Callithrix jacchus: one gene and its partners. The protein of the gene in region 3 interacts with the protein of the main gene of each other region in a biochemical or structural test. Links are inferred from orthologs where the notes say so. Each region holds a gene or a part of one and is shown on either strand. Other genes may lie near its edges.

Evidence for each region.
Region 1: the proteins of SNTA1 (region 3) and MAS1 interact in a test that uses a peptide from one of them, tested with the Homo sapiens proteins (2 studies listed by BioGRID and IntAct). The link is inferred for Callithrix jacchus from reciprocal best matches to the Homo sapiens genes SNTA1 and MAS1.
Region 2: the proteins of SNTA1 (region 3) and MCM7 interact in a test that uses a peptide from one of them, tested with the Homo sapiens proteins (2 studies listed by BioGRID and IntAct). The link is inferred for Callithrix jacchus from reciprocal best matches to the Homo sapiens genes SNTA1 and MCM7.
Region 4: the proteins of SNTA1 (region 3) and ADRB1 interact in a test that uses a peptide from one of them, tested with the Homo sapiens proteins (2 studies listed by BioGRID and IntAct). The link is inferred for Callithrix jacchus from reciprocal best matches to the Homo sapiens genes SNTA1 and ADRB1.

What each region holds. Positions count from the first base shown.
Region 1 is NC_133505.1:166,710,640-166,718,213, reverse strand, and holds the start of MAS1 (proto-oncogene Mas), read right to left. Parts: upstream 4,978-7,574; 5' UTR 4,779-4,977; intron 1-4,778. UniProt on the Homo sapiens protein: Receptor for angiotensin 1-7. Acts specifically as a functional antagonist of AGTR1 (angiotensin-2 type 1 receptor), although it up-regulates AGTR1 receptor levels.
Region 2 is NC_133503.1:13,480,927-13,488,561, forward strand, and holds the start of MCM7 (DNA replication licensing factor MCM7), read left to right. Parts: upstream 1-3,337; 5' UTR 3,338-3,434; coding exon 3,435-3,465; intron 3,466-3,713; exon of another isoform or gene 3,714-3,892; intron 3,893-4,188; exon of another isoform or gene 4,189-4,504; intron 4,505-4,643; coding exon 4,644-4,723; intron 4,724-5,038; coding exon 5,039-5,203; exon of another isoform or gene 5,204-5,207; intron 5,208-5,374; coding exon 5,375-5,499; intron 5,500-5,579; coding exon 5,580-5,760; intron 5,761-6,055; coding exon 6,056-6,193; intron 6,194-6,476; coding exon 6,477-6,626; intron 6,627-6,816; coding exon 6,817-6,931; intron 6,932-7,020; coding exon 7,021-7,152; intron 7,153-7,384; coding exon 7,385-7,468; intron 7,469-7,635. Other genes in the region: AP4M1 (AP-4 complex subunit mu-1), read right to left, coding at 443-505, 888-968, 1,061-1,171, 1,772-1,868, 1,952-2,058, 2,760-2,848, 2,956-3,013. UniProt on the Homo sapiens protein: Acts as a component of the MCM2-7 complex (MCM complex) which is the replicative helicase essential for 'once per cell cycle' DNA replication initiation and elongation in eukaryotic cells.
Region 3 is NC_133506.1:5,909,284-5,915,486, reverse strand, and holds the end of SNTA1 (alpha-1-syntrophin), read right to left. Parts: intron 5,135-6,203; coding exon 4,938-5,134; coding exon of another isoform or gene 4,906-4,937; intron 3,519-4,905; coding exon 3,331-3,518; intron 3,230-3,330; coding exon 3,137-3,229; 3' UTR 2,590-3,136; downstream 1-2,589. UniProt on the Homo sapiens protein: Adapter protein that binds to and probably organizes the subcellular localization of a variety of membrane proteins. May link various receptors to the actin cytoskeleton and the extracellular matrix via the dystrophin glycoprotein complex.
Region 4 is NC_133513.1:106,981,327-106,988,880, reverse strand, and holds ADRB1 (beta-1 adrenergic receptor), read right to left. Parts: upstream 4,711-7,554; 5' UTR 4,442-4,710; coding exon 3,014-4,441; 3' UTR 1,721-3,013; downstream 1-1,720. UniProt on the Homo sapiens protein: Beta-adrenergic receptors mediate the catecholamine-induced activation of adenylate cyclase through the action of G proteins. This receptor binds epinephrine and norepinephrine with approximately equal affinity.

The DNA of each region.
Region 1 (7,574 bases), on a different chromosome or scaffold from region 3:
TCCAGACCATCCTGGTGAACATGGTGAAACCCCGTCTCTACTAAAAATACAAAAAAATTAGCTGGGCATGGTGGCGCGTGCCTGTAATCCCAGCTACTCAGGAGGCTGAGGCAGGAGAATTGCCTGAACACAGGAGGTGGAGGTTGCAGTGAGCCGAGATTGTGCCATTGCACTCCAGTTTGGGTAACAAGAGTGAAACTCCATCTCAAAAAAAAAAAAAAAAAAATACAGTCCAAAGTGGCTCACGCCGGAGCTCATGGCGCTCGCGAAGGCGAGGTCATCAGTTCAAGGCTAACCTGAGCAACCTCATTAGCTCAAACTGATTGGCAAAAAAAAAAAAAAAAAAAAAATGACACTTGGTCATATATGTTACAAATTATTTTTCCCCAGAAACTGGAGTATTTTATTAAAAACATGAAAGGATGCTGCTTGGAATTTTCTTAAAAACGCTTCCTTATTGATGAAGTCCGACCGTCCTCTGCTAATCATTAAGATTTAGAGCTTGAAAAAATCATGCAGACACTGCAAACCACCCCCTTGTTTTTCCAGGTGAGGAAATTAACTCAGGACTAGTCCAAGGTTACATACTTAGTAACAAAGGCAGCAGCGGGGCCTGGATTGCCCAGGTCCAAGTTGGCGCTATATCTAGCCCTCCCCTGCCCCACCCAACACACACACGCACCAGCTCATTGTCAACAGTCTATCTATGTGTGAAGTTCACACACCCATTCGTGAGGCTGTTAGGACCTTGGGAACATTTATTAATGGCTTTTATGTCGCCAGAAGCAACCACACAATCAACTGCACTGTCGCTAATTATCTTTATTAACAACCTTAAAAGATGGATTCTTTTTATTTATCAAAGGATGGATCTTATTTATCAAATAATGGATGTTTATTTATTAAAGCACCATCCACCCAATACCAAACCCAGAACCAAAACAACACAAACACACAGGAATGAGTTCTTTTCAGAAATACTGTCTCTGTTTTCACTTTCTTCTGTGACACAGAGTGGCTCATGGCCATCACCATGATCAATAAACACTTCTATAGATGAAGAACACCACACTTTGCCATTATGGGTAAAGATCATTGATGTCAGAGGGAGAAGAAATTCAGGCGTGTCCTTTCATCAGAACAAAGAAGAGAAGTGAGCCAGTCCATTCAACAGTGCAGCGCTCTCAGCCAAGTCCTCCAGAAGGGGGTGAGACACGATCTCAGGCTCAAGCCCCTCCCCAGCGCACGACTGTTGCTATGGAACCTCACTCCCTGTCTCCCCGCTGCTGTCTCTGAGATGATGCTAGAGCCTCACAGTGGAACCTCACTCCCTGTCTCCCCGCTGCTGTCTCTGAGATGATGCTAGAGCCTCACAGTGGAACCTCACTCCCTGTCTCCCCGCTGCTGTCTCTGAGATGATGCTAGAGCCTCACAGTTTCTTCCCTCTGGCTCTCCTCCTGCCTTCCTGCAGTTCTTCTGTCTCCCTCTCTGGATCTCTTCTCACACTGCCCTGTGTCTCAGAGTTCCACCAGGATCCATTCTTTTTTTTTTTTTTCTGAGACATGGTCTCACTCTGTTGCCCATGCTGGAGTGCGGTGGTGCCATCTCTGCTCACTGCAGCCTCCACCTCCCGGTTTTGAGCAATTCTCCTGCCTCAGCCTCCCAGGTAGCTGGGACTACAGGTGCCCATCACCATGCCCAGCAAATTTTTTTGTATTTTTAGTAGAGATGGGGTTCTGCCATGTTGGCCAGGCAGCAGACTCCATTGTCGACCCTCTTCCCTTCCTACTCCACAGACTCTTTTTGGGTGGTCTTGTCCAATCCCACCATTTCAAAACATCACCACTTGCTGATGAAATCCAAATGCACAGCTTTAGCTCACATATCTCCCCAGCATATCAGAGCCATATAACCAACAGCCCCAGGTATGAGAGGCCCAACTGGGCCTCTCATGGTGGCAGCAGCCTCAGTGAGCCAAAACAGAAATCCAACCTTCCCCGATGGGCCACACTTCTTCCAATATGCCTGGCCTTCCAAGTCAAAAAAAAACTGGACATTTTACCATAATCTTGTATGCCACCTGCACCAGTGCCTAGAATCAGCCATTTCTCCAAGGAGCCCTGGTTCCTTTTAGTTAATAATCACATTTAGAAACCAAGATCTGGGTGCAAAATGTGCTCATTGCTAGGAGGCTGTCACTGCTTCCAGGCCCTCTCAGGGGAAGGGCCAAGGAATATATGTATATAGATACATTTATGTATAGTTGTACATACACACACCTACAGCTGCATTCCTGTATCTTTTTATATCTTTATAAAATATATATATATAATCATGAATTGACACCAATATCTCAAGTTTTGACCCACTACCAATGAATTCATTCGCGTTTTCTCCCTCTCCATATTTGTAACTCCCTTCTCTGAGTAACCTGGCTTCCATGGTCGTCTCTGCATTTACTCATTTGATCAACCCATCTAAGAACAGTTGCCTATGTCTGCCACTGCTCTTCCCCTGCCTCTGCACAGACAGCCTCCTCAATTTGTAAAGTCCTTTTACTTCCTGTTGGGCTGATGCTGCCCCTGCCCCCCACCCTGAGACACAGATCTCACCCAGCAGGAGCTCCAGCACCCAGTACCAGTTCCCTGCACCCGCCATGCAGATATCCTCCTGCCCTGCCCAGCACTGATATCCCCTTCCATGCCACCACTGCCACTGCCCTCACCCCAGCGTGGCTGCCCCCATGGGGATGATCCATGTCTGTTCAGGCTCCAGCACCTCAAACAAGCCACCACAATCCAGGCTAACCATGGTAGAAAGTAGGACTTAATTCCCACCACCCACCTGCAAAACTCAAAGAATTGTAGGCAGTATCGCATCTGAATGCAGAAGAGACTTTTGAGAAGAGAGGTTTGACACTGATCAAAGAACAACACAGAGGCCACTGTCTGTTCTGCCTGTGCCTACGGCTGCTCAGCCTGGGAGCTGCACTTTCAGTCCAACTGACCACTACAGGCAAGTCCTATGTCAAAGTGCTTAGCTCCACTGGGCCTCAACTGCTTCACAGAACTGGCATTTTAATGTATTTGTGAAAGGCTGGGGTATATGAAATACAAGTGCCACCATGAGTCTCATGGAAATGCCAAACTGAGAGAATGAATCAATAAGCAGGGAAAACAACCATGGTGGTTTCCATAGATGTGTAAGGATGTGGCTTTGCAGAGCCCGTGTCCCGGCAGGTCTACCTGAGATTGCCGGCTGCATTTACCTCTCAATGATAGTGAGAGGAACAGATGGATGGGGGAGCTGACAGAAAAAACAAGGAGACTCAGAGTCGGCAGAGAGTTCTAAATGCCATACATTTATGCTTGCTCAAGTGTTCTCTAGAGACCTCAGAAGCAAACAACCCCTTCCACATTCCCATTCAGTTGAGTACAGTCCTCCCATGGCCCCAGATTCCCAGCCTAGCACATCACTCTTAGAAGAAAGAAAGAGGGGGCTGGGGAGGAAGGCAGGGAGAATAAAGGAAAGAGAAAAAGTCAACAAAATTCAGGTTTGAGGAGTGGGCCATCTGAAACTTCCTGTTGTTCCCAGGCAACTTAAAAGAGAGCCTGACTGTAGGCTGGACTTTCTAGGTGTGCAGATCCAGAGAAAAGGGCAAATTCTTCCCTGTGTATGTGTGCAGTCACCCGGACAAACAGAAACCCATTTGTGAGATGGAATTTCCATGGCAGGCAAGGGCTCTGAGGGGAATGTACAGGGCAGGAACATCTGTCCTGGTACTAAATGCACCATTCCCACCTTCCCAACACTAGGGCCATCTGCATGGAGAGGCAGAGACTTCTTACTCCCTTTCTAAACATACTACAGGATCAATTTAGAGCCCTGGTATACAAGGGGAGAAGGTGATTTTGTCCCCTAAGGGATGTTTGGCACGACTGGAGATATTTTTGGTTGTCACAGTGGAGAGGAGTGTGCTACTGGTATCTCGCAGGTAGAGGCCAGAGCTGCTGCTAAACATCCCACAGTACACAGGACAGCCCACGCGGCAAAGACTTACCCAGCCCAGGAAGCCAGTGGTGCCCAGTCCACAGCACTCTGCCAGAGGCCAGCTCGTGATCACCTTTTTATTGCTGCACCCACAGCCATCTAACAATACCCTATACATTCTCTCATCAAATTCCCTCTAAGTATCCTGATGGGGAAGTGTTGCTAAAATTCTCGTACCAAAGATCAAGACTGAGCCCCAGATTTCTTTTAATAGATACCTTGTCACCAAAGTGCTGCATGTGACCTTCATAAGCAACAGAAGCTAACACTGATGCCAGTGCCCACTATGGAAAAACGAAGAAAAATCAATGCAGCTTGCCCCAGTGATGCCCAACAGCTGTGAGCCAAGTAATTTCTCCAGAGGAATCGAATTCAGGAGCAACTCTTTCAAAGCTCAACTTCTTTATCATTCATCAGTTTTCATTAAGAACCTTGAAAACCTCCAAGTCCACCATTCGAACTGTGAATTGATCCTAAGATTCTTTCCCCTGCAACAACTTAAAAAAGAAAACGCTACTCACAAGTTTCAACCCTGAAGTTGAACAACGATGCCTAGGAACAGTTAACTCAGCAAAGAAGTAAATTTTCTGAAACAAAAGCAGGAGGAGACAGAAATTTTGCCAACACATTCCAACAGCAAACATCTAACACACCAAACAAACAAAAAAGAAAACCAGCACAGAAAACAGTTACCCAGGAAATAGCTTTTTAAAGAGGGGAAATCTTACTCTGGTTGTCAAGGACAGCTGAACAATGAAAAACTGGGACGCGGACTCGCTGGTGTCATTTGCTCAGGAAGGGTCAGAAGTGGCCACAGGCTGGCTTTCCCTTTGCGTCTGGGGCATCAATGCCCAGCCAGCCTGCAGGGTCTCCAGTTCCAACATCTCGAAGGCTGCATGGCTGCAGCCTCTCATCTCGGAAGGAATCAGAGCTGCTCTCCCACTGCTGAAAATATTTGAGAAGTGCCAAGCAGATGGTCCCACGCTTATCAGCAGAAGCTTCCAATGGCATCATTCGGTGACACACTCGAGTGAAAATCTTCACGCCAATCCAGAGCGGGATGTGAACTGATGATAACGCAAGGCAGTGGACCACCTCGAACCACAAAGGCCAGCCAGGGCTAAAGAGAAAGATGACCTGGAGAAATGCCACATGGAAGGGCAAAACCACATGTGTAGTGGAAAGACAGAACCAGCTCAAATTCTCAGTTCGGCTTCTAATTACTCATGTGACCTCTGCCAAGCTCTCTAAGACTTGGTTTTCTCACCTGTAAAATGGAGCTAATAATATGACCTTGACATGTTGTAATGATGGGATAAGACTATGTATAGACCCAGAGAGACACGTGGGAGATATGTGGCTAGACAGTTAAGAATTTGCTCCCTTCCTACAACCCAGTTTCAGAGACAATCACGCTCAATGTATATAAGACCCATGGTGGGGGCCGGGCGTGGTGGCTCAAGCCTGTAATCCCAGCACTTTGGGAGGCCGAGGCGGGTGGATCACGAGGTCAAGAGATCGAGACCATCCTGGTCAACATGGTGAAACCCCATCTCTACTAAAAATACAAAAAATTAGCTGGGCATGGTGACACATGCCTGTAATCCCAGCTACTCAGGAGGCTGAGGCAGGAGAATTGCCTGAACCCAGGAGGCGGAGGTTGCGGTGAGCCGAGATCGCGCCATTGCACTCCAGCCTGGGTAACAAGAGCGAAACTCCATCTCAAAAAAAAAAAAAAAAAGACCCATAGGATGCAGTGAAAAGCAAACAAGCCAAGGAGCGGGTTCCAGGGGTGGAGGCAGGGTCTGCACCATTGGCCTTGCCCAGACTGCTTCCCAGCCTGGTCTGGGGACTCCTCCTGGGAGCAGCTGTTTCTCTTAGATGCAGACTCTCACCCGTGCAGTCAGGAACATAAGAGCAAATTCCTTTTTCCCTGATCCCTGTTCTGCACTTTTCCTTTTTTTTTTTTTTTTTGTTTGTTTTTTTTTCCTCTCTCTTTTTTTTAAACCAAAAATGGTCAATATGTTACCCATTTTTCAAAGAACCCAATGTGAAGCACCAAAGGCTGAGCAGGAGTATTCTGGATCTCTTGGATCTCAGGTAGCCAAGCCTGAGAACCCAAGCCTGAAGACCCAGCCCTCACTCATGGTAGCATTTTTCTTATGTAAAGGGATTCCTTCATAGATACTGTGCCAAATTATTAAGGGACCCTGGGGACTGATTATATCAAAATGGGTGAGAAGGCAATTTCAGACTCTGTGGGAAAGCAGCCATAGGCACCGATAGATGCAGTTTCCCTCTGACTGATTTCGTAAGCAATAAGACCATAGTCCCAGGGCAGAGCCAAACTACTCTTGTGGGAAGCCTGACCAGCAGTTCGAGTCCTCCTAGAGGGAAGAAGAAAGGGGAGAGGAGAAAGCTTCCCCTGGAGCCAGCAGGCATCTACTGGGTAGGCAGTGCTGAGCACCAAATCAATAGAACAGGTGATTTGCTGGTCTATTGATTTCAGCAAATCAATAGACCAGAAGATCCTGAAGTTGGAAAGGTATTCTCATTACCTGGTTCTGATGTTCCAAGGAAGGAGAAGGTCAGCCTCCTGGAGAACTTTAGTTTCCCAGAGGATGGTCAGAAACTAAAAGGAAACAGGCACCAGCTAAAGCAAACGGCAAGGCAGAAAAGAAAGAGTGCCTGGTGGGAAAGGATCAGAACCACGGCAGAAAACACAATTAGGAGAGAAAGAACAGGCTGCCCAGGAAGGTTCCAATCCCAGCAGGGGAGCAAGAGACCCTGAAGGAAATGCGGGATGGAGATGGGATGGGACAGAGCGATCCTCTCTGCTCCACATTCACTGCTTCTCAGAGCAGGGGCTGTCCAGATGTTATGAACATTTCACCCTGTCCTTATGGGTGCTGTGAAACCCTGCACAGTGACCAACTAGAAGGAGGATGCCGACGTCATTATGTAAGTCAACAGAACTGAGGGCCTCACCGAGTTGCTTTTTCCAGCATCTAACAGAACAGAAGTCTGTCCCGACAGGCAGAGGACAACAAGCTGCCCAACGTGGAAGTTGATAATGGTCACGAAGTGAATGAAGGGCAAGCCACCGTGAAGCTGGAATGGCCTGATGGCTTCTAGGTAGGGAGAAAGTCTCCAAAGGGGCTGGTGGCCGGCTAGGGGAGCCTGAAAGAGGTGGCTCTCTTCGTCCCCGGCTTGAGTGGGTGGCAGAAGGCCCCAGTTGTTTTGTGACTAATTGGCACCACTAACAAAGCAGGAACTATCACAGATGGAGAGGGAGTCGCATTTGTGGCAGATAATGATTTATCCTTAGAGAAAATACAGCAGCTCACAGTAAAAATAAAACTGCTTGCATTTAAGCCACAAATAGGTTGGCTATTTCTGTGCTTGGTTTGTCTTTGTGAGTAATCATTCTCCTCTTGAGAGGTGGGCAGAGTTGCGGGGAAGGAGGTGTACTAACAGCGGGTAACAAAGCAACCGAATCTGGGAAAGAGGAGGGTCTGGAGCTC
Region 2 (7,635 bases), on a different chromosome or scaffold from region 3:
CTCAAGTGATCCACCAGCCTCGGCCTCTCAAACCGCTGGGATTACAGGCATGAGCCACCGTGCTGACTTCTTTCTTTAAAGAGACAGCGTCTTGCTCTCTCACCCAGGCTAGAGTGCTTTGGTGCCATCCTGGCTCACTGAGGCCTCAATCTCCTGGGCTCAAGCGATCATCCTGCCTCAGCCTCCCAAGTAGCTGGGACAGCAGGTGTACACTACCATGCCTGGGTAATTTTTTTGTATTTTGTAGAGTCAGGATCTGGCTATGTTGCCCAGGCTGGTTTCAAATTCCTGGCCCCAAGTAATTATCCCATCTCTGCCTCCCAAAGCACTGGGATTATAAGCATGAGCCACCGTGCCCAGCCATTGCTGGAGTCTTAGCCACCCCAACATGTGTCCCAAATCTCATTTGTCCTCAGCTCAAGGGATGGGAGCTCAAACTTACATTAGATGCTATCAGTACAGATAATCTCTCAACCACATCCAAAAAAACTTCATTCTTCTGGCTCTGAGAAAGAGAGAGGATTTGGGTCGTTGGAAGCAGAACAGTCTATGTTCTGAAGTGGACAGACAGAAGAAAGAACAGAAGAATGGTCAAAGCTACAGCTCTAGGGTAGGGACACAGGTGCCAGAAGGGATACCCACATCTAGGAGAGGTGGAAAACGTACCAAGATCTTTTTTTTTTTTAATTTTTGCATTTTTAGTAGAGATGGGGTTTCACCATGTTGACCAGGCTGCTCTCAAACTCCTGATGTCAGGTGATCTGCCTACCTCAGCCTCCCCAAATGCTGGGATTACAGACATGAACCACTGTGCCCAACCTAAAATCTTGGACTCTGGGGTCCCAGAGCAAAACCACAAGGTTGGACCCCATGGATCCCTCTCTCACCTGGTCAGAGCGACTGGACAGAATGGGGCGGCTGGCTGCACTGCTGGGGGCCACTTTGCTCTGTTGTGTCTCAGCCCCAAACTGTAAAGTATCCAAAGCAATCAATCCTCAGGTCTGACAACCCCAGGCAACACCCCTTCTCCTTCCTCACCCTCCTCTTTTTCTCTGCTGACCAAGCCAACACTGCTGAGGTCAAAGAGGCTGAAGGGCTTGCTGACCACAGCTTCCGTCTGGATGAAATTCCTCAGCATCTCCATAGATGTGGTCTGTACGTAGCCATAATCCTAGCGTAAAAGAAGGACAGTCTGAGAAGTCAGTGGAGGGAAGGGGTAAAAAAGGTGAAGTGGGGGCCGGGTGCAGTGGCTCACCCCTGTAATCCCAGCACTTTGTGAGGCCAAGGCAGGTGGATCATGAGGTCAGGAGTTCCAGACCAGCCTGACCAACATAGTGAAACCCCATTTCTACTAAAAATACAAAAAATTAGCCAGGCAGGTGGCATGTGCCTGTAGTCCCAGCTACTCAGGAGGCTGAGGCAGAAGAATCACTTGAACTCAAGAGGCAGAGGTTGCGGTGACCAGAGATCCAGCCACTGCACTCCAGCCTGGGCGCCAGAGACTCCTGTCTCCATAAAAAATAAACAATTAGTTGGGCACAGGGGAGGCTGGGGCAGGAGGATTACTTGAGCCCAGGAGTTCCAGGTTACAGTGAGCTATGACTGCACCACTGCACTCCAGCCTGGGTGACAGAGCAAAGACCCTATCTCTAAAAGGTAAAAAAAAAAGGAGTAGACTTGGTCTCCCAACCACAGCATCCCGCAGTAGAAGAGCAGAAGTATCTCCAGGGGAATTGGGGGGCGGGCACAGAAGGGGATCATTGATTCTCACCAGCACTTCATCCAGGAGCTCGTAGACCACAGCCACGTTGCGGGAGATGGTCCCCTCACCCAGGGCGCCACAGTAATCGCCCAGAAGGGTGGCCAACCTGAAGAAACACTTGGGAGTATGCATTTCCTCCTCCTCTTAGACCCCCACTAGCTACCAGGTGTCCAGCCCAGCCCTCCTCACCTGGAGAGCAGTTCTAGGAGGCCGAAGGGAGAAACGTTTTCTGAAGTTGTGACCACCAAATAGAGGCCGCTGTGTCTGATGTGAATGAAATGACGGCCCTCGTGATGCTGAGACACAGGCAGGTAGAGTAGCATTAGGAAAAAGGAGCTGGGGTGATCAGAACCCAGGAGACCTGAGCTCGGATCCCGATGCCTCTTACTAGTCACAGTAGCAGTGACTTCGGGAGATACATGACAGGTTCCTGAACCCAGCTTCCCAATGTGGAAACGGGGTTAATTACAGTAGCTACACCTAGTTGCTGAGGATGGAGTCATAAAGGGAGCTGGGCCTGGTGTTTTGCTGCCACCTGATGTAAGTTTTTTTTGTCCCAACGTCCCCCCCCCCCCGACCCCTGCCCGATGTAGTCTTGCTCTGTCACCCAAGCTGGAGTGCAGTGTGGCGATCTCGGCTCACTGCAGCCTCTGCCTCACGGGTTCAAGCGAGTCTCCTGGCTCAGCCTCCCTAGTAGCTGGGATTACAGGCGCTCACCACTAGGCCTGGCTAATTTTTTTGTATTTTTAGTAGAGGCGGGGGTTTCACCAGGTTGGCCAGGCTGGTTTCGAACTCCTGACCTCAGGTGATCCGCCCCCCTCGGCCTCCCAAAGTGCTGGGATTACAGGCATGAGACACCGGGCCTCTTGTTAGTTTTATATGGAAGAATGCACCCCATCCCAAGTGGAAGCTACCAAGGAATCAGCCCTGGGAGGGAGCCGGCGGGCCAGGTGGGCGCCGGCTCCCTGCTCCCCACCCGCCTCCCGCCAGTGGTTACCATGACAACCGGGGACTCGTCTCCTGGCAGTCCCGTCAGCTTCCGGTAGAAGAGCTCGGCCACATCCCGGCCGCCACTGTCCCCACGGACTGGCGGGTGGAAGAACTCAGTGAAGAAGCCTGCGACACGGGCTGGCCCCGGGCGCCCCTCCCGCCCGACACCTCCGCCCCTTCCCAGCCCCGCGGGTCTAGGATACAGTCTTTGTAGATGAGCGGGTCCCCCTTGGAGGACAGAATGAAGAACTGGGAAATCATGGCCGTTCTGGAGAGTAAACGAGAAGACGGCGAAAGTTGGGCCTGCCCCGCCCTGAGGCCCCGGAACAAAGGAACACGCGTGCGCTGGCCCTTTAAGAGCGATTCTGCTCCGCCTAAGCCAGCTCGGACCGCGGGAAACCAGACGCCCGCCCAGCCTAGCTCGGCGATTCCCTCCCGACGCCCACACCGCCTCCCCGTCACTCATTCCAGGTCCTCCTGGTGATTGGCTTGAGGCTAGCTGGAGGCGGGGAGAGGGCCGGCCTCTGCAATTGGCCGGCAGGCAGTGGCGCCGGTCACGTGGGGGCGACGTTTCGCGCCAATTTCGGTTGGTCAGCCACAGTCCACCGCGCGGACGTTCTCCGCTTGCCCGGGACCCAGACCTCTGAGTCCGCCAAGCGCTGCCGTACGGGCCTCGGTAGTGATGGCACTGAAGGACTACGCGATCGAGAAAGGTACTGCTCTACGAGCCTGGGAGGGCGTCCTGCGCGGGGAGCCTCCCGGGGAACACCTATTGGTGTGAGCTGGGGTCTTGTGGAGCCGGGATCAGCAAGTTCTGGGGACCACAAGGCTAGAGGCAGGGTCGGGCGGCCGCCCGGCTGAGGCCCACGAGGCGCAGGTGGCATCCATGTTGAAGAAAAGCTGGTAATCCCACGTAGTAAAGGTGTTAGGGTCATGGAGTTGGGGGCTTGGGGGCGCTAACCTGGCTGGGGGGGTGCTGCATAGGGGAGAATCGCGCCCAAGACCTCGGAGTACCCTAAGGACTCTGGGGTTCCGGGCCTGCTTTCCTCCGCGCTTTTGGGCATTCCCCAGTTCCCGCGTCCTCCCGAGGCGCGCGGAGGCCCTGGGGGCGGGCAGGCCGGGCCGCTACGCACCAGGATTGGCCGTTTGAGGCCGCCCTCCAAGCGGAAGTGGAGCCGGGCGGAAGTGGCGCGACGCGGATGGAGGGAGTGTCGTGTAAACAGTGTCCTTCCGCGCAGCGGCCTCGGAGAGAGCTGTGGCCCAGGGGAGGGGGCGTGCCTGGGAACCGGGAGCTTCGCTCGTGCCCCGGAAAGGCGGTAGTGGGCTGGGATCGCGGCGGCCCCAGGCGTGTTGTCCAATGGCTGGATGGGCTCCCGCCCTGGGCGGAGGAATCCCGGGCTGTGAGGCGGCTGGAATCCGGTCCCATGTGCTTCTTTGTTTACTAAGAGCGGAAGCGCTGGCGGGAGCGGGGGTGGGGTGCGCGACCCGCCTGATGGCGGAGGTCCTGGCGAGATCAGGGGCTCAGGGGCCCAAAGAAGGTGGGGGATCATAGGGGTGGAAGGAAGGCTGAGAACCTTGAGATCGGAGTGTGGGGCGCCGATGAGGAAGGGCGCTAGGGTTTTAAAGTAGGGACCGGAATTCCCCTGGGAAGACGATGTTGGATCATCCTGTGAACTGCCACGACCTCTTTATTCTTCGCTGATTAAAAACAAACTTGTGAAAAAGAGTTATACCCATTTTGGGGAGAATTCGGTAGGTTTATTTAAATGCTCATATCGTTAACTAGTTCATAAATCGTGTTTTAAGTGAAAATAGGCGTCTTAGATTTCTGTCAGAGGGATGGGCAGTAATATAAAGTTTGTGTCTTATGATTTTACCTTTTACGTTACAGAAAAGGTTAAGAAGTTCTTACAAGAGTTCTACCAGGATGATGAACTTGGGAAGAAGCAGTTCAAGTATGGGAACCAATTGGTGAGTCTAAGATTGGGTAAAGAGAATGAGGAGTCGGGTTTTAAGAAGTCCTAAGAAGCGGCTTGTTTCATCAAGGATGTTTTTCTGACATGTTTATCAGGGCATTTGATATCTGGTAAGAGAATGTGATGCTATAGTATTTTCATAATAATTAGAGAGTTTGGGGGCTGAGAAGTGAGTGTGCTCTCTGAGGTGCTATGTTCTCCCCTGTGGATGCCCAGAGCCCGTGCTGAGCTCTCAGTGATGCATCTTCACACGTGAACACTGAACAAGTGAACATGGCTCTGAGGTGTTGCTGTCTCTTTCCCACCTGAGGTTCGGCTGGCTCATAGGGAACAGGTGGCTCTGTACGTGGACCTGGATGATGTAGCTGAGGATGACCCTGAGTTGGTGGACTCAATTTGTGAGAATGCCAGGCGCTACGCAAAGCTGTTTGCTGATGCGGTACAAGAGCTGCTGCCTCAGTACAAGGAGAGGGAGGTGAGTGACTGGAGAACAATGCAGGGCAAGGCGTTTCAGCTTCTGTTAAGAAGCTTCTCAGATACTGATGTTTTCGGAGCCAGGCAGAAAGCAGGGGCACTTCTGCCTGGCATTGTCTGTGCTCTCCTTTCCCCATCCTGTTACTCATTTTTTTCTGCTCTTCTCCTTTAGGTGGTAAATAAAGATGTCCTGGATGTTTATATTGAACATCGGCTTATGATGGAGCAGCGGACTCGGGACCCTGGGATGGCCCGAAGCCCCCAGAACCAGTATCCCGCTGAACTCATGCGCAGATTGTGAGTGGTCTCTGTTGGGAAGGATGTAGGGATTGGTTTGTGACTCCAGGATCTTGTTTGTGACTGTTTTCTCCTCTTAGTGAGCTGTATTTTCAAGGCCCAAGCAGCAACAAGCCTCGTGTGATCCGGGATGTGCGAGCTGACTCTGTGGGGAAATTGGTGACTGTGCGTGGAATCGTCACCCGTGTCTCTGAAGTCAAACCCAAGATGGTAGTGGCCACTTACACTTGTGACCAGTGCGGGGCAGAGACCTACCAGCCGGTACGTGTGGAGGAAGGAGCAGGAAAGCACTTCACACTTAGTCATTTTATAGAAATTGATATGATCCATGATGCCTATCGTTTTTTCTGGTTGTAAAAGCTACCTATGTGTTCACTTTTCATTCTTGGGTATGTAGTGGTCTTTCTATTTTCTGGGTGTCTTCTGTTGTCTAGAATAAGCTCAAAGAGTTCTTGATTCAGAAGATGTCTGCCATGAAGAGAAAACATGATTCAAGAGACCGAGATGGGGCTGTTTTTCTTCTGACTTCCTTTGGTGTTTCTGTTCTCAATCCTAGATTCAGTCTCCCACTTTCATGCCTCTGATCATGTGCCCAAGCCAGGAGTGCCAAACCAACCGCTCAGGAGGGCGGCTGTATCTGCAGACACGGGGCTCCAAATTCATCAAATTCCAGGAGATGAAGATGCAAGAACATGTGAGTTTGGGGTATGTGGCCCTGGGCAGGTGGATCAGGAGTCCACTTGAATCCTGTAGTCACTGGTGGAATGGCAAGAAGAACAAAAGAGGGAAGTGCAGGAGTGAGGTGGAACTGGGGTTTCTTGAGAGCCTTGGCAAGGGGAGAAAGGCAGTCTCAGCTTCCGTCCTGTGGGCTTATCTGTGGCTGGGCAGGCAGGGAGTCTTGGCGTGGGATGCCTAGGGAGGGAAGGTTGGGTCCTTGTTTATTTCTCCTGAGCCTTATGTGCTCTTCCCTCCCCTAGAGTGACCAAGTACCCGTGGGAAATATCCCTCGTAGTATCACAGTGCTGGTAGAAGGAGAGAACACAAGGATCGCCCAGCCTGGAGACCATGTCAGTGTCACTGGTATCTTCCTGCCAGTCTTGCGCACTGGGTTCCGACAGGTGGTACAGGTAAGGAAGGGAGTTTGATATGAGGAACAGATCATCCCATTTCCCCTCACCCACTGTACCCATACAGAGAAAAGTGAGTAGCAAAGCACCAAACAAAACAACACAGTGCTTTATCAAGAAATTGTTAGGGAATCTGGTGATGGGTAAGTTCTAAGGATTGCATCTGTATCCTGACATTTTCCTGCCTAAGGGTTTACTCTCAGAAACCTACCTGGAAGCCCATCGGATTGTGAAGATGAACAAGAGTGAGGATGATGAGTCTGGGGCTGGAGAGCTCAGCAGGGAGGAGCTGAGGCAGATTGCAGGTGATGCTCAGGAGAGAGAGGAAATTCCGTTTACATCCTACCCCCCCATTTTCCCCCACAAAATACCTTAACCTTAAAATTCTCCACAGAGGAGGATTTTTACGAAAAGCTGGCAGCTTCAATTGCCCCAGAGATATATGGGCATGAAGATGTGAAGAAGGCACTGCTGCTCCTGCTAGTGGGGGGTGTGGACCAGTCTCCTCGAGGCATGAAAATCAGGGGTAAGAAGAAAAAAGGGCAAGGCTCAGGGTAGATGAAGTCATTTGGGAGGAAAAAAGGATGACAAGTGTCCCCATAGGTCACAGTATAAGAGTGGGCGTCTTCGATTCATGGACACAGGGAGGGCTTAGAAGTAATGCTAGGTGTTGGGGGAGGCAGAATTCAAAATTGCTCTGCTGTTGGCCAACTTGCACTGGGAGAAGAGTCATTCCTGGGCTGCCTGTCTTCCTCTAGGCAACATCAACATCTGTCTGATGGGGGATCCTGGTGTGGCCAAGTCTCAGCTTCTGTCATATATCGATCGCCTGGCCCCCCGCAGTAAGTAGTTGGACTTTGAGAGGGGTGAACATAGTGACAGACAGGACCACAGGGTTTATTCAAAAAGTGGGGGTGCATAGTGGCTTACACCTGTAATCTCAGTGCTCTCAGGCTGAGACAGGAGAATCATTTGGGGCCAAGAGTTTGAGACCAGCCTGGGCACCATA
Region 3 (6,203 bases):
GCTCCTTCAATATCCTAAGCATATGTTTATAAAGTGAACAACAGCTTTGAAGTCAGATAGATCTGATTTGAATCCCAGCTCAGATATTTCATAGCTGTGTGACATTCGGCAATTTACTCTCCCCTTCTGAGCCCAAGTTTTTTCATCTGTGAAACTGAGATAACTGTGCCCACTATATAGGCATATGGTGAAGATCCAATAAGATAATGTGTGCACAGTGTGTGGAAGATCACACTCTCTGTATGTTAGCCATGGCTGGGGCAAGAAGGGAAGCGGCCACTGTGCCATTCTTGTTTTTCTTTTCTTTTTTTTTTTTTTTTTTGAGACTGAGTTTCACTCTGTAGCTTAGGCTGGAGTGCAATGGCGAGATCTTGGCTCACTGCAGCCTCTACCTCCCAGGTTCAAGTGAGTCTCCTGCCTCAGCCTCCCAAGCAGCTGGCACTACAGATGTGTGCCACCCCACCTGGCTAATTTTTATATTTTTAGTAGAGACGGGGTTTTACCATGTTGGCCAGGCTGCTCTCAAACTCCTGACCTTAAGTGATCCACCCGCCTCAGCCTCCCAAAGTGCTGGGATTATAGGCATGAGCCACCACACCCAGCTCACCATCCTATTCTTAAAAGGGGTCCAAGGCCAGGCATAGTGGCTCCTGCCTGTAATCCCAGCACTTTAGGAGGCTAAGATAGGAGGATTGCTTGAGCTCGGGAGTGTGAGACCAGCCTGGGCAACATGGCAAAACCCCATCTCTACAAGAAATTAAAAAATAAAAAAATTAGCCAGCCATAGTGGCACATGCCTGTGGTCCCAGTAACTTAGGAGACCAAGGTAGGAGGATCACGTAAGCCTGGAAAGCTGAGGCTGCAGTGAGCTGGGATCCCACAGTTGCACTCCAGCCTGGGCAGCAAAGCAAGACCACATCTCAAAAACACTTCACAGGGTGTTCCAAGTGAAGGCACCAGACTGCTGATGGCCAGAAGGAAATGAGTGAGTCTTTCATGGTTTGGGATATTGCTGAAAATTTAGTGGATAAGCTGAGAAAGTTTCATTTTCACAAAGAAACAAAGAATGCTGCCATTATAAATAAGCTAAAAGTGATTGCCTCAAAGTTAAGTTACCTGGTCTTTTTTTTTTTTTTTTTTTTTGAGGCAGAGTCATGCTCTGTGACCTAGGCCGGAGTGCAGTGGTGCGATCTCTGCTCACTGCAACCTCCACCTCCGGGGGTTCAAGTGATTCTCCTGTCTCCTGAGTAGCTGGGATTACAGGCAGGTGCCACCATGCCCAGGTGATTTTTGTATTTTTACTAGAGACAGGGTTTCACCATATTGGCCAGTCTGGTCTCAAACTCCTGACCTTGGGTAATCTACCCTCCTCAACCTCCCAAAGTGCTGGGATACAGGCAGGCACACCAAGCACATGATCTTTGTTTTATCTTGTGGCTACATTGAAGAAACTGGATCTTTAGAAAGTTTTAAAAATGTTCTGAGCTGGGCGTGGTGGCTCACACCTGTAATCCTAGCACTTTGGGAGGCTGACGCAGGAGGATTGTCAGGAGTTCAATACCAGCCTGGCCAACATGGTGAAACCCCGTCTCTATTAAAAATACAAAACATTAGTGAGGCTTGGTGGCAGGCACCTGTAAAAGCTACTCAGGAGGCTGAGGCAGGAGAATCACTTGAACTGGGAAGTGGAGGTTGCAGTGAGCTGAGAACATACCACTGCACTCCCACTTGGGTGACAGAGCAAGACCGTGTCTCAAAAAAAAGTAAACAAAAAAACCTTCTCCATCATTGCTGTTGTCATTGTGATTTCAGGTAGGGAGTCATAGCCACCGCCCACTCACATCCAGCCAGCACATCACAGTTTCTGAAGCACTAAACATTCCACTCTACCTCCCTTCTGCAGGAAAGGGTCCTGAAGCTCTCTAAGGTGGCTTTGAAATAGGTCCACACATTCTTCCACATTCCTTTCTTCAAGAGGTGGAGCCTGATTCCCCTCCCCTTGAGTGTGGGCTGAACTTAGTGACTCACTTCTAATGAACAGAACCACGGTCTGTGGCTTCCAAGACTGGGTCATAAGAGGCACTGTTTGTGGCTTCCTCCTTGCTCTATCTTCTGTCTCACTGTGGGGAAAGCCAACTGCCATATCATGAGAAGACTCAAGCAGCAGCTCTAGGGTTAGGCCTGCATGGTGAGGCACTGAGACCTCATGACCATAAGCAGTATTGGAATGGATCCTCCGACCCCAGTCAAGCCTTCAGATGACTGCAGCCCTGGCCGACAACTTGACTGCAACCTCATGAGCAACTCTGAGACAAGAACAGCCCAGCTTAGCCCCTCCCAAATTCCTGACCCACAGAACCTAGGACATAATGAATATTTGTCATTTTAAGCTGCAAAATTCAGGGTCATTTGTCTGCTAAATTTGGGGTAATTTGTCACACAAAAATAAATAACCAATACACTCTCTTTGGCCCTGTGGTGAAGGTCTGTTCTTCTCCAGGGAAAGGTGCCCCGGTCCTTGGTCTGGTCCATCTTGGGACTGCAGGGGCCACCCCAGGGCCCAAAGGCCAAGGCACAGACCACAGACACTGGGCCAGGCTGCCTGTATGCTCACAGGCTATTTATTTATCCAAGAGTAAGGAGGAGAGAGAAAGGATGAAGAGAAAAACCAGACTCCCCAAGGTGGCGGAGCTAAGGGGAAAAACAAACAGAAAGGCTCCTCTTCTTTCTCTTGCCGCTGACCCCAGGTATTCCAGCTTCAGATGGGACCTCTGGGGGTGGCTTAGGGGCCTCAAGGAGGCCTGGCAGCTCAGCTGTTGGCTGGGGTCAGGATCCACACAGGGGCAGGTCCCAGGCTTGGAATGGCTTCTGTGTACACAAAATATCTCTCTGCAAAAGGCACTAGTGGAGGGGGGCAGCAGGAAGGCTACCCCATCACAGGCAGGGTCCACTCTGTCCTGGGTCTGGGTCCTGGGCCCCAAGACCAATCCAGCCTCCCTCAGGGGCGGGGTCTCTGAGGAACCTCGTTCCTCTCCTCTCCCTTCTGTCAGCCCAGGGGCGAGCAGGCATTCGGTGGAGGCCCAGCTCAGGCCATGTTATAGACACCCCTCTTCAGGGCTAGTGCATCCGGCGACTTCTAGGCCAAGAGCCCAAGGCGGGTGACTTTGGCCGAGAGGAAGGAGTGGATGATGAAGACTATGGTTTTGGGACACGAGTGGAGGTCCAGCTGCTGCAGGGTGGATGGAGAGAAGAGTCAGGGCCCTGGCCAGCCTGGCTTCCAAGAGTGCACACCCCCTCCTCCCCAGGGTACAGAGGCTGCCCTTCACTCACGATCTCGCCTTCAGCACCCCCAAAGTCCAGGAAAAGGAGACTGGCGCCATCATCTGAAGACATCTGCAGCTTCTCGAAGGGTTGTCGCAGGAGCACAGCTCGGGCTGCCCCTGGCTCAGCCGCCCACAGTGTGAAGCCCTTGTCGATGTGCACAGACAGGCTGCAGGGACGCCCGTTCCACGTGCAGGCTGCAGGAGGGGCACGTAGGTACAGGCATAGCTGGCACCTCAGAGACCACACCCCAACCTCCAACCCCCACCGCAGCGTCACAAAGTGGGGCCTAAATGCCTCCATGTATGGTAGGATCACTGTTTGTTGTGGCACCTGTATACCCATCCTGCAGAGAGTCACCACCCCCACCCTCAGAGGACCTATACCCACTTCCAGCCCCACTTCCAGCAGCACTACAGTATAAAGGGGGGAGCTTAAAATCTGTCATGGACAGGAGGCTCACTCCTGATAAAGGCATCATCAGATCTACCAAGCACCACCCTTGGAGACTTGCAGAGTTGCCCAGCTAAATTTAAATTTCAGATAAGCAATGACTAATTTGGGCATAGTTCTATGAAAAAAGTATTCATTGTTAACTTGAAATTCAAATGTAGCTGGGTGTCCTGTATTTCATCTGGCAGCCCTACCCCAAGTGCCATCTCTCACATCCTCAGCAGATGGACAAAGCTGGGGCAAGAAAACCCCAGGGAGAAGAGTCTCTGCCTACCAGGGCACCTGCACATCCAAAACAGAGGCCCAAACCCAACGTTGGTTTCTTTTTTTTTGAGGAACAATCTCACTGTCACCCAGGCTGGAGTGTAGTGGGTGTGATCTTGGCTCACCACAACCTCTACCTCCCAAGTAATTCTTGTGCCTCAGCCTCCCAAGTAGCTGGGACTATAGGCACCTGCTACCATGCTCAGCTAATGTTTGGGGTTTTGTTTGGTTTTATTTTGTTTTTTGAGACCGAATCTTGCTCTGTCACCCAGGCTGGAGTGAAGTGGGGCTATGTGGGCTAACTACAACCTCTACCTCCAGGATTAAAGCAATTCTCCTGCCCCATCCTCCCAAGTGGCTGAGATGACAGGTGTGTTCCATCATGGCTGGCTAATTTCTATTTGTTTGTTTTGTTTTTTGAGATGGACTGTTGCTCTGCCGCCCAGGCTGGAGTGCAGTGGTGTGATCTCAGCTCACTGCAGCCTCCGCCTCTCAGGTCCAAGCAATTCTCCTGTCTCAGCTTCCTAAGTATCTGGGATTACAGGCGTGAGTCACCGCGCCTGACCTAATTTTTATATTTTTAGTAGAGACGGGGTTTCACCATTTGGCCAAGCTGGTCTTGAACTGCTGATCTCAAGTGATCCACCCGCCTCAGCCTCCCAAAGTGCTGAGATTACAGGTGTGAGCCACCACACCCAGCCAATTTTTGTATTACTAGTAGAGACGGGGTTTTGCCATGTTGGCCAGGCTAGTCTCGAACTCCTGACCTCAGATGATCCACCCACCTTGACCTCCAAACCCCATTTCCTGTCTGAAGTGCCCTAAAGAAGGAAGCTTGAATGTCCCTGAGGAGAAGAGGCTCATTACCAGAGGGACACTCCCAGATCCTCCCAGCACACCTGTAGACACCTCCTGCACACCCTCGGCGGCCCGGTGACAGCCATCCACCAGCTGGCGGGTCCAGGCAGCCAGCTCCTGCGGTGACTCCACGCTGAACAGGTGAGTGTCCACACCGTGACGCGTGCCCGTGCGCAGGGCAAAAGAGAGCTCTGCATCATAGGGCACTGAGCCCTTGGAGGGGCCTGAGTGCACCAGTCTGGGGGATGGGGGGGGCAGAGGGCTAAGCATGAGGCCTCAGGCAGGGGGCAAATAGTTCTGGGCAAGGGGATCAGTGTCCTGGGAAGGAATCCTGGGAATCTTTCACCACCTAACAGGACAAGACTTGCTAGGGGGCACTGATTGACTCAATAGGAGACATCTGCCACTCTCCCCGTCATTCCCTTGGCTCTGGCTATACTGGTGTCCTCACACACAACACCCAGCACATGCCTGCCTCAGCACCTTTGCATATGCTGTTTCCTCTGCCTATACACGCTTCCTTGATTATCCTCACAGCTCACTCCCTCACTTCCTTCAGATGTTAGCTTAAATGTCACCTCCTCTGAGAAGCCTTCCCTGACCTTCCAGTCCAAAATAGCACCCTCGTTACTCAATAGCCTTACTTTTTCGTTATGGTACTAGAAATTATACTTTTTATTATTTGTTTCAGTTAGTTTTTTTACTGTATTTTTTACGAAAATGTCAGCTAGGGTAGAAATTTTGATCCTTTGTTCACCACTGTATTCCCAGTAACTGAAACCATGCCTGACCATAGTAGTTGCTCAATAAACATTTGTTGCCTGAGTTGAATCACTTGATTCAGTGGACTGTCCAAAACCTAGTTATCCCTAGTAGCCAGCGGGCTCCTGACACACAGGCCAGAGCCAGCCTGAGGTAAGGAGAAATGGGTGACAAGGACTTCGGACTCCTGCAGCCTGACTCTCACTTGCTGTGCAGCCTTGGTAAGCCAACTGCCCCTCTCTGGGGCAGACCTTAGAGTTCTGGCCTGTATTCCTCTTTGTTCTTCCCTCCACCCACTCCTTCTCTTATAGCTCAGCTCCCCGTGAACCACTGCTGACACCAGCCTCCCACTGTCCAGCCCTGAGCTGCAGACCCTTGAGTCCCCAAGCTTCCTATCCAAGCTCCCTCTCCATCCCACACACACTGTGGACTTGACTCAGCATCTTGCTCCAGCCTCCTCCCTTTCCACCCCCACCCTCAGTCCCACACTCACCCAGACACAAGCTCCAAACCTCCTGTTCATTCCAGACCCCTCCTTCACCCGC
Region 4 (7,554 bases), on a different chromosome or scaffold from region 3:
CTCCCACTGCCATCGCTACTGGGACTGGCAGCCTATCTCCCCACATTTTCCATTATAAATCAATGGCTGCCTTCTTCAAAATCGACGAAAAGTAGTCTTCACGGATATTTGGAATCACTGACAGGGTCCGTTTCTGAATCCACGTAATACTCAGTTGGAGAGCATGGGGGATGACAAAAAAATCTATCCTATTTCCTGCCAATACATAGAAACCAGTCCCAAGATTATAGGGGCTTCCTCTCACTCACTAAAGTGATTGAGCCTGGGTACTAAGTGGTTAAATTATATACATTTGTTCTTAAAGCTTAAAGGACTTTTGTCATTTAATACCTGAAATTTGATGGGCCCGTATATATGTTTTGGGCTGAGAAGATTTCTTTTCATTTAAATGTGAAGACTTATCTAGACAAAATAAGTAAATAATCAGGAAATCAAGAAAGTGAAGCATTTAACTGCTACTTCAGTGTCTAGTAATTTCAGACAAAAAAGGACAAAACCCCTAAGAAAATGCATCTTACACACTCATGGTGGGGAGTGGATAGAAATTAACCATATTTGGTTCCTAGGGAAATTATAGTGACATTCATCCCGAGACTGATTATACATGCTCCAAAATATATTTCTTTAAATATTTATTTTTATATTCTTAAAGAAGCTCATCCTTTCTTTCTTTCTTCTCTCTCTCTCTCTCTCTTTCTTGCTGGAAAGGGGTTAAACTTCATAGCAGCTTTTGTTGAGGCTGCTCCTGTTTGTGCAACCTTCTGCTGGTCTCTAAAACATCTACGTCATTAACCTTTCTCAGAAGATGGTTGCCTTGTCTTTAGAATATGCCATTGCAAAAAACAATGTTCAGTCTCGACATTTCCCTATTAGAGAATACTCTCTCGTGTTAAAGTGTAGCATAAGCCAGACATGAATACTCTTTACTTTGATTTCTTTACTGTATGGTCATGATATAAAAAGCCTATTTAAAAATAGAGTATTTTAATGTATTTTGGATAATGTAAAATCACTATCAGGACAGAATTTCACCATACTTTCCTTTAGGAACTAACTTTATGAAAAAGACCCCATCCTTTGGGTGCTTTAATTTTCTTAGAAACTTAAATCCTTTCACATTTGCTTTTACCTGTGATCTGTCCACCCAGAACTTCTGGCAAAATGATCTACTTGACTACGCTAGAGGAAAAACATTTACTTCAGAAGCCCTTTTATATATTTTTGCTTAACCATGAAAGCATTTTTCATTCTAAACAGCCTCTGGAGAAATCTGCACACACTGATCATCTGCAGGCTGTGATTTTCTATTGGAAAACAAAAATAAGCTGTGGAAGCCACTTACTGCATTCCAAGTAGGCAACTGATCATTCAATGAGTCTTTCCTGCATTTCCATGAAAGTTGCAGCTGAGTTAAATGGCCACATCACTGGTTTTTAAATTTATTTTTAGAATATAAGCAATCCCAAATGTCACTTCTTAAGTCAAGTGCAGCAGATGGGATCTTGAAAGTGCCTACACATTTAATCTGGCTGTGAAAATTTAGGGCAAATCTGGAGCTCTCAGTAGGTAAACACCTTATTTGGTCTGGAGGCATTTTGCTATGTTATTGAATCATGAAAACCTATTAAAAGAGCTCTATAGAAATCCAGTCTGTATTCTGAACAAAACAAGCTGTCTTTTTCATTATTGCTGACCCCGTACAGACACACGATACATAATCTCAATTGTGCTTCATTGGTATTTATTGCACATGGACCAATTCCTCACACAGTAGTTAGTTGCACCAGAGTATAAATACTTGGTAAAACACACAAGAGGAAATAGAATTTACACACAAGTGCTAACTTTCACCAGCAAATTCACGTGGGCACTTGGACATAAAAAAAATAAAAAATCCTTAAGATAATTATATTTATAATATGGATACAGTTACAGTACCATGATAAAGGAGTATAAAAAGGTATTTTCCCAATAAATCATTAGCTCTATAACATACTAGACAACAGAAGTAGAGCTTGAATTTTATTTTAGTTTTTAAGATCTGCCCACCACTTCCCCAGTTAAAAAATATTTAACTTCTTTTTGTGCAAGTAATGTTTTCTGTGGAATTTGTAATTCCTAACACTGTGCAAAAATGGCATTTTGAACCACTCCTTTTTTTGTTTTTGTTTTTATCCACATGTGCAGTAATCAAAACTGTCTCTCTCTCTCTTTTCATGTCCTGTCTTAAATTGACAAGAGTCACATGTCACAGAGAGAGGCTCTGCGCCTGGTCCTTCCAACTAGTATTGATACATAAATAAGCTGTTTAATATAAACAAGTCTTTCTATCTGCTGTGCAAATGCACAGTGTGAGGTAGAAATCCCGTAGCCTGACCATCCAGGCGCGCGGGGGATCAGAGGGTTTGCCCTACACAAGGAAAGCAAATTGGGGCTTGTTCCAAGAAGAGCTTAACATTTCTTGAAACGTGATTTTTTTTTTTTTTTTGCATCCATCCTTTTCGCTTTCATAACAGCGGAAACCATTACTTAGGAATTAAAATGAAATTTCTCTGGAAAGCAAAAGGAAATAAATATGCCTTGATAAACTGTCATTCTCCTCTCTCTGGCTGGTAGACTGCCCCTGTTCCTGGGACAGGGTCGGGAGCCAGGTTGATCGGATTTTAATCCCCTCCTAATGCTTCTTCTCCCTTCCCCTGCCCACCCAGCTTCCACTCCCATCCTCGTGGAGTCAAAAACCACCTGGGGGGAAAAATCTAAAGATGCATCACAGGCACACACAAAAGAAGGCCGGACCACAAACAGAAGAAGAAGGAAAACAACCCAAGGAACATCAGCAAGCCACTCTCCCACCCCTCCCCAAACTTTCCTTTTTGTGCAACGGTCCGTGGCTTTTCTGTTTGCCTTGGATGATTCAGACGAGGTTTGTGGGCTTCGAGTTCACCTGCTTTCGGTCTTGAGTAAACACAGATCTCCGAGATCCCCCGGGAAGCCGTTCCGGGGCGCCGGGCCCCTACACCTTGGATTCCGAGGCGAAGCCGGGGCGGCACGGCTCGTCCAGGCTCGAGTCGCTGTCCGCCGCCGCCCCGCCGTTGCAGCCGGCCCAGGGCTCCAGCAGGCGCGCGGGCGGCGTGGCCCCGACGACATCGTCGTCGTCGTCGTCCGACGCGGCCCCGGGCGACGGCGGAGGACCGGGCCGGGCCAGGCAGCCCGAGGCGCGCGGCCGGTCCCCGTGGGCCGCGTGGCGCCGGCTGGCGGCCCTGCGCGCGCAGCGGAGCAGGCGCTGGAAGGCCTTGCGGAAGTCCGGGCTGCGGCAGTATATGATGGGGTTGAAGGCCGAGTTGGCGTAGCCCAGCCAGTTGAAGAAGACGAAGAGGCGATCAGGCACCAGCTCGCGGTGGAAGGCCTTCACCACGTTGGCCAGGAAGAAGGGCAGCCAGCAGAGCGTGAACACTCCCATGATGATGCCCAGCGTCTTGAGCGCCTTCTGCTCGCGCAGGGCCACGAGGCGCGAGGGCCGCCGCTTGCCCGCGCGCCCGTTGGCCAGGGGGGCGGCGGCGGCGGCGGCGTTGGGGCGCGGGGGTCCTGGCGCTGACGGCGGCGCGGGCGCGGGGGCGGGTGAGGGCGGCCGCTCCGGGCCGCCGAGGAACCGGCGCTCGCAGCTGTCGATCTTCTTCACCTGCTTCTGGGCCTCGCGGAACACCCGCAGGTACACGAAGGCCATGATGCATAGGGGCACGTAGAAGGAGACCACGGACGAGGCGATGGCGTAGGCCCGGTTGGTGACGAAGTCGCAGCACTTGGGGTCGTTGTAGCAGCGGCGCGCCTCGTCGCTCTCCGCCCGCCACCAGTGCATGAGGATGGGCAAGAAGGACACCAGCGCCGAGATGGCCCACACGGTGCACACGAGGCCCCTTGCCCGCGCGCGCGTCAGCAGGCTCTGGTAGCGGAAGGGCGACGTGATGGCGAGGTAGCGGTCCAGGGCGATGACACACAGGGTCTCGATGCTGGCCGTCACGCACAGCACGTCTACCGAGGTCCACAGCTCGCAGAAGAAGGAGCCGTACTCCCAGCCGCCCCACACCACGATGGTGGCCCCGAACGGCACCACCAGCAGCCCCATGACCAGGTCGGCGCTGGCCAAGGACATGATGAAGAGGTTGGTGAGCGTCTGCAGCCGCGGCGTCTTGGCGATGGCCACAATCACCAGCACGTTGCCCGCCACGATGAGCAGCACGATAAGCGCCATCAGCAGGCCCATACCCGCCGTCCACTGCTGCGACAGCGGCTCGAGGCCTTCGCTGGCGGGAGGCAGCAGCGAGGCGGGCGGCGACGCGGGCACCAGCAACCGCGCCGCAGTGGCCGCGCCGTCGGGGAGCGGCGCAGCCGACGACAGGTTGGCGGGATCGGAGGCGCCCAGGACGAGCGCCCCCGCGCCCATGCCGAGCTGCGGAGGCCGGGGGCGGTGGGTGTGGCGGGGCTGGGCAGTGGCTAGGGAACACCCCAGGAGCCCGGGCGGCGGGGTGCGCCGAGGGAGGTCGCGGCCGGGTCAGGACAGCCACGGCGCGGGGCCGGAGGCATGGGCGCCGGGCGCCTTTCCCGCCGGATCCGAGCGCTGTCGCTGTCGCCGCCGCCGCCGCCGCCGCTGCCGCTGCTGGAAGAGCCGCCGGGACCTCAGCATGTTTCTGAGCGCGCCGGGCCCGCAGCTCCGGCACCCAGCACCCACCCCACCCCGCTCCCACCTCCCCAAGCCAACCCCCGGGGCCTCGCGTCAGGTTCCTGTAGCCAATCGGGGCAAAGGCACGCCCCCGTCGGGTCTGCCCCCCCCAACTCCCCGCACCCCACTCCAGTTGGCAATTGAGCCGCTCCTGAGAGTCCGGAGCTGATCGCGGAGCTAGTGCCTCCCGTGCGGCCCGCGGGTTCCTGCGGACGCGCCCCTTCCTGCGCCCGCTGGTTCCAGGTCCCTGTTCCGCGCACCCCCTCCCGCGCCCGGCTCCCCCGAGGGGCCCCGCCCCCTCCCGCGGCCCCCAAGTGCTCCCGCAGCCGCTGCTGCGCCCCGTTTGCCTCCCGCGCCAGGCTCCCTCCTGCGCCCCTGCTTCCCCAGCATCCCCTCGACCTGCAGTCCTGGGGGTTCCCTGCGGCAGAGAGCGCTCGCTCCTTGGAGCGAGGAGGGGACCTTGGTGTTCTGGAAGCGCCAGAGCGCCTGGGACTGCTTGCCCGCCGGGCATGAAGGAGTTTGCCCTGCGAGCTTGGTTGTGGCATGGGGCAGCCTAGCAGGGTGTGTGTAAAACCCTTCCCCCGTCAAGAGGCGACCCAGCCAGCCTGTGTCGTGACAGCTTGGGGGATCAGAGGTGGGTGTTAGTGGTTAGAGGAAACTTCCCAGCAGAGCGGGTTGCTGGAGCCAAGGGCGCATCTGTTCAGAATGCTCTCTGGGCGCTGTTCTTGCAGGGATCTTCTGTTGAACCTCAAGTGCAGTGGAAGTGGAAAGGATGCGAAGGTTTGTGCATCTAACAGCTAACGCTGAGGACCCGCTGGCATCGTATTCACTCCTCAGTCCCAGCTAATGAATGTGTGAGCAAGATGCAACGGTGTGTGCTCATGATAAAGGGAGAGGCTTAGGGAGACAGAAACGTTGAGATACAGAGCAAACGGTACGACTGCGAGGGGAAAAAAAACATGCTTAATTACATTTTAGACTTGTCAGTGATAACACCTGTATTTTGTGTTTTATTACTCTTGTGATTTTGTAATTTGAGCTAGGTCAGTACCAACACAAAGGTACTGTCAGTTTCGGCTGACGTCATGAACTACCATTTCAGATTCCTTGGTCTGCTGCTTGTTTTCTCCTTTTCCCAAGTTCCCAGATTCTCAAAACTCTGGGATTAGTTTTGGAGGGATGAGACAAGAACACATATAAATACTCCAGAGGATTAAAATCCGAAAGCATTTAAAGTTGTATCTGTGTTTTTTTGAGTTGGCAAATGAATCGCTTTGAAATGAGTGAGTTGTTAACCTGGCGAAATGGATTATATTGGGGTGGGGGCACAGCCATGAATATTCAGTGCGGCAGGACTGCAAGCCCCTTCTCTCATTTGGCCCCTGTAGTGTCCTCAGTTCAGGCTCGAAAAACAAAATATCTTTAATTGGGTCCTTGAGAAGTAAACAGCTTCTAATTGTTTATGTAAGGGTGCATGAAAATGTTATATAATTCTCACAGGTCCTTCTGGCATTGGAGTAAGAACAGTGCCTGCAATGAACATCAGCATCTTTGCTGATGTTGGTCGTCAGTATGATCAAGCTCATATTCTTACCTTGCAAGGAGAGACTGATTTCCACAGCTGTCCAGGTCAAAAGCAAAAAGGAATGTTTTTAAAGTTTATATAAAGCCAAGCAGTTTTAACCACTTTCTTTTACAGAAATGCAAACATATGAATTTGCTTTAGGCCCAAGACTGATGGTTAGAGTGTTACAACTGGGGAGTAATTTGCTTATTCACTCCCTGCCCAGGATTTATCAGCTGATTTGCCAACTTGGGGGGGTTGAGGAGGGGTGCCAGGAAACAAGAGGACTTAGAAAAAGGGGAAGAAGGAGACTACACCCCAAGTTTTCCATGTCACCGCAAGCCTGAGATTCCTGGCGTCTTTCTTTCATTCTTTCTCCTTCTCTTTCTTTTCTTTCTCTCTCTCTTTCTTTTCTTTCCCTCTTTTTCTTTCTCGCTCTCTTTCTCTCCTTCTTTCTCTCTCCCTCGCTCCTTCCTTTCTCTTTCTCCCTTCCTTCCTTCCTTTTGTCTTTGCTTTCCTTTCTTCTTTCTTTTCTTTCTTCCTTTCTTTCTTTCCTTCTTTTTCACTCTTGTTGCCCAGGCTGGAGTACAGTGGCACGATCTTGGCTCACTGCAACCTCTGCCTCCTGGGTTCAAGGGATTCTCCAGCCTTAACCTCTCAAGTAGCTGGGATTACAGGCATGTACCACCACACCTAGCTAATTTTGTATTTTTAATGGAGACAGGGTTTCACCATGGACTGGTCTCGAAAACCTTGGCCTCCCAAAATGCTGGGATTACAGTAGTGAGCAACTGTGCCCAGCCTTCTGGCTTCTTTCTGGGCCCCCAAGGGGCAGTCTCAAAATAGCCAAGGGATTGGAAGAAGTTGAAATTGATGCTGCTCAGGAAAGGAGCTCTGAGTGCTGGGCTGCAGGGTGAGGCACAGGGAATGTGGGGAAGAGGTTTTTCCTTGCCATCTTTCTGTCAAGTGGTGTTACCAGAATAGTGTACCAACCTTAAATGGCCTTGAAGGGTGGAAGGCATTGCTTTTCTGTGTGCGATAAGGCCAGAACTTGGTTGTAGAGGTTCAGGGCAGAAGCCAGATGCCAGTAACTTTGCTGTATCATCATTACGTATATAAACACACTGTGACATTTGAATTGTTGAAAACTCTCCTGAAACTTTTTCCCCTGCTCATTCAGAAATACATCAAGTTTCTCTGAATTTCTGTATAATAAATACATTAAATTATAAACACTGAAAACCAGAAGGCTATTCTAGCAGGAGTATCCATA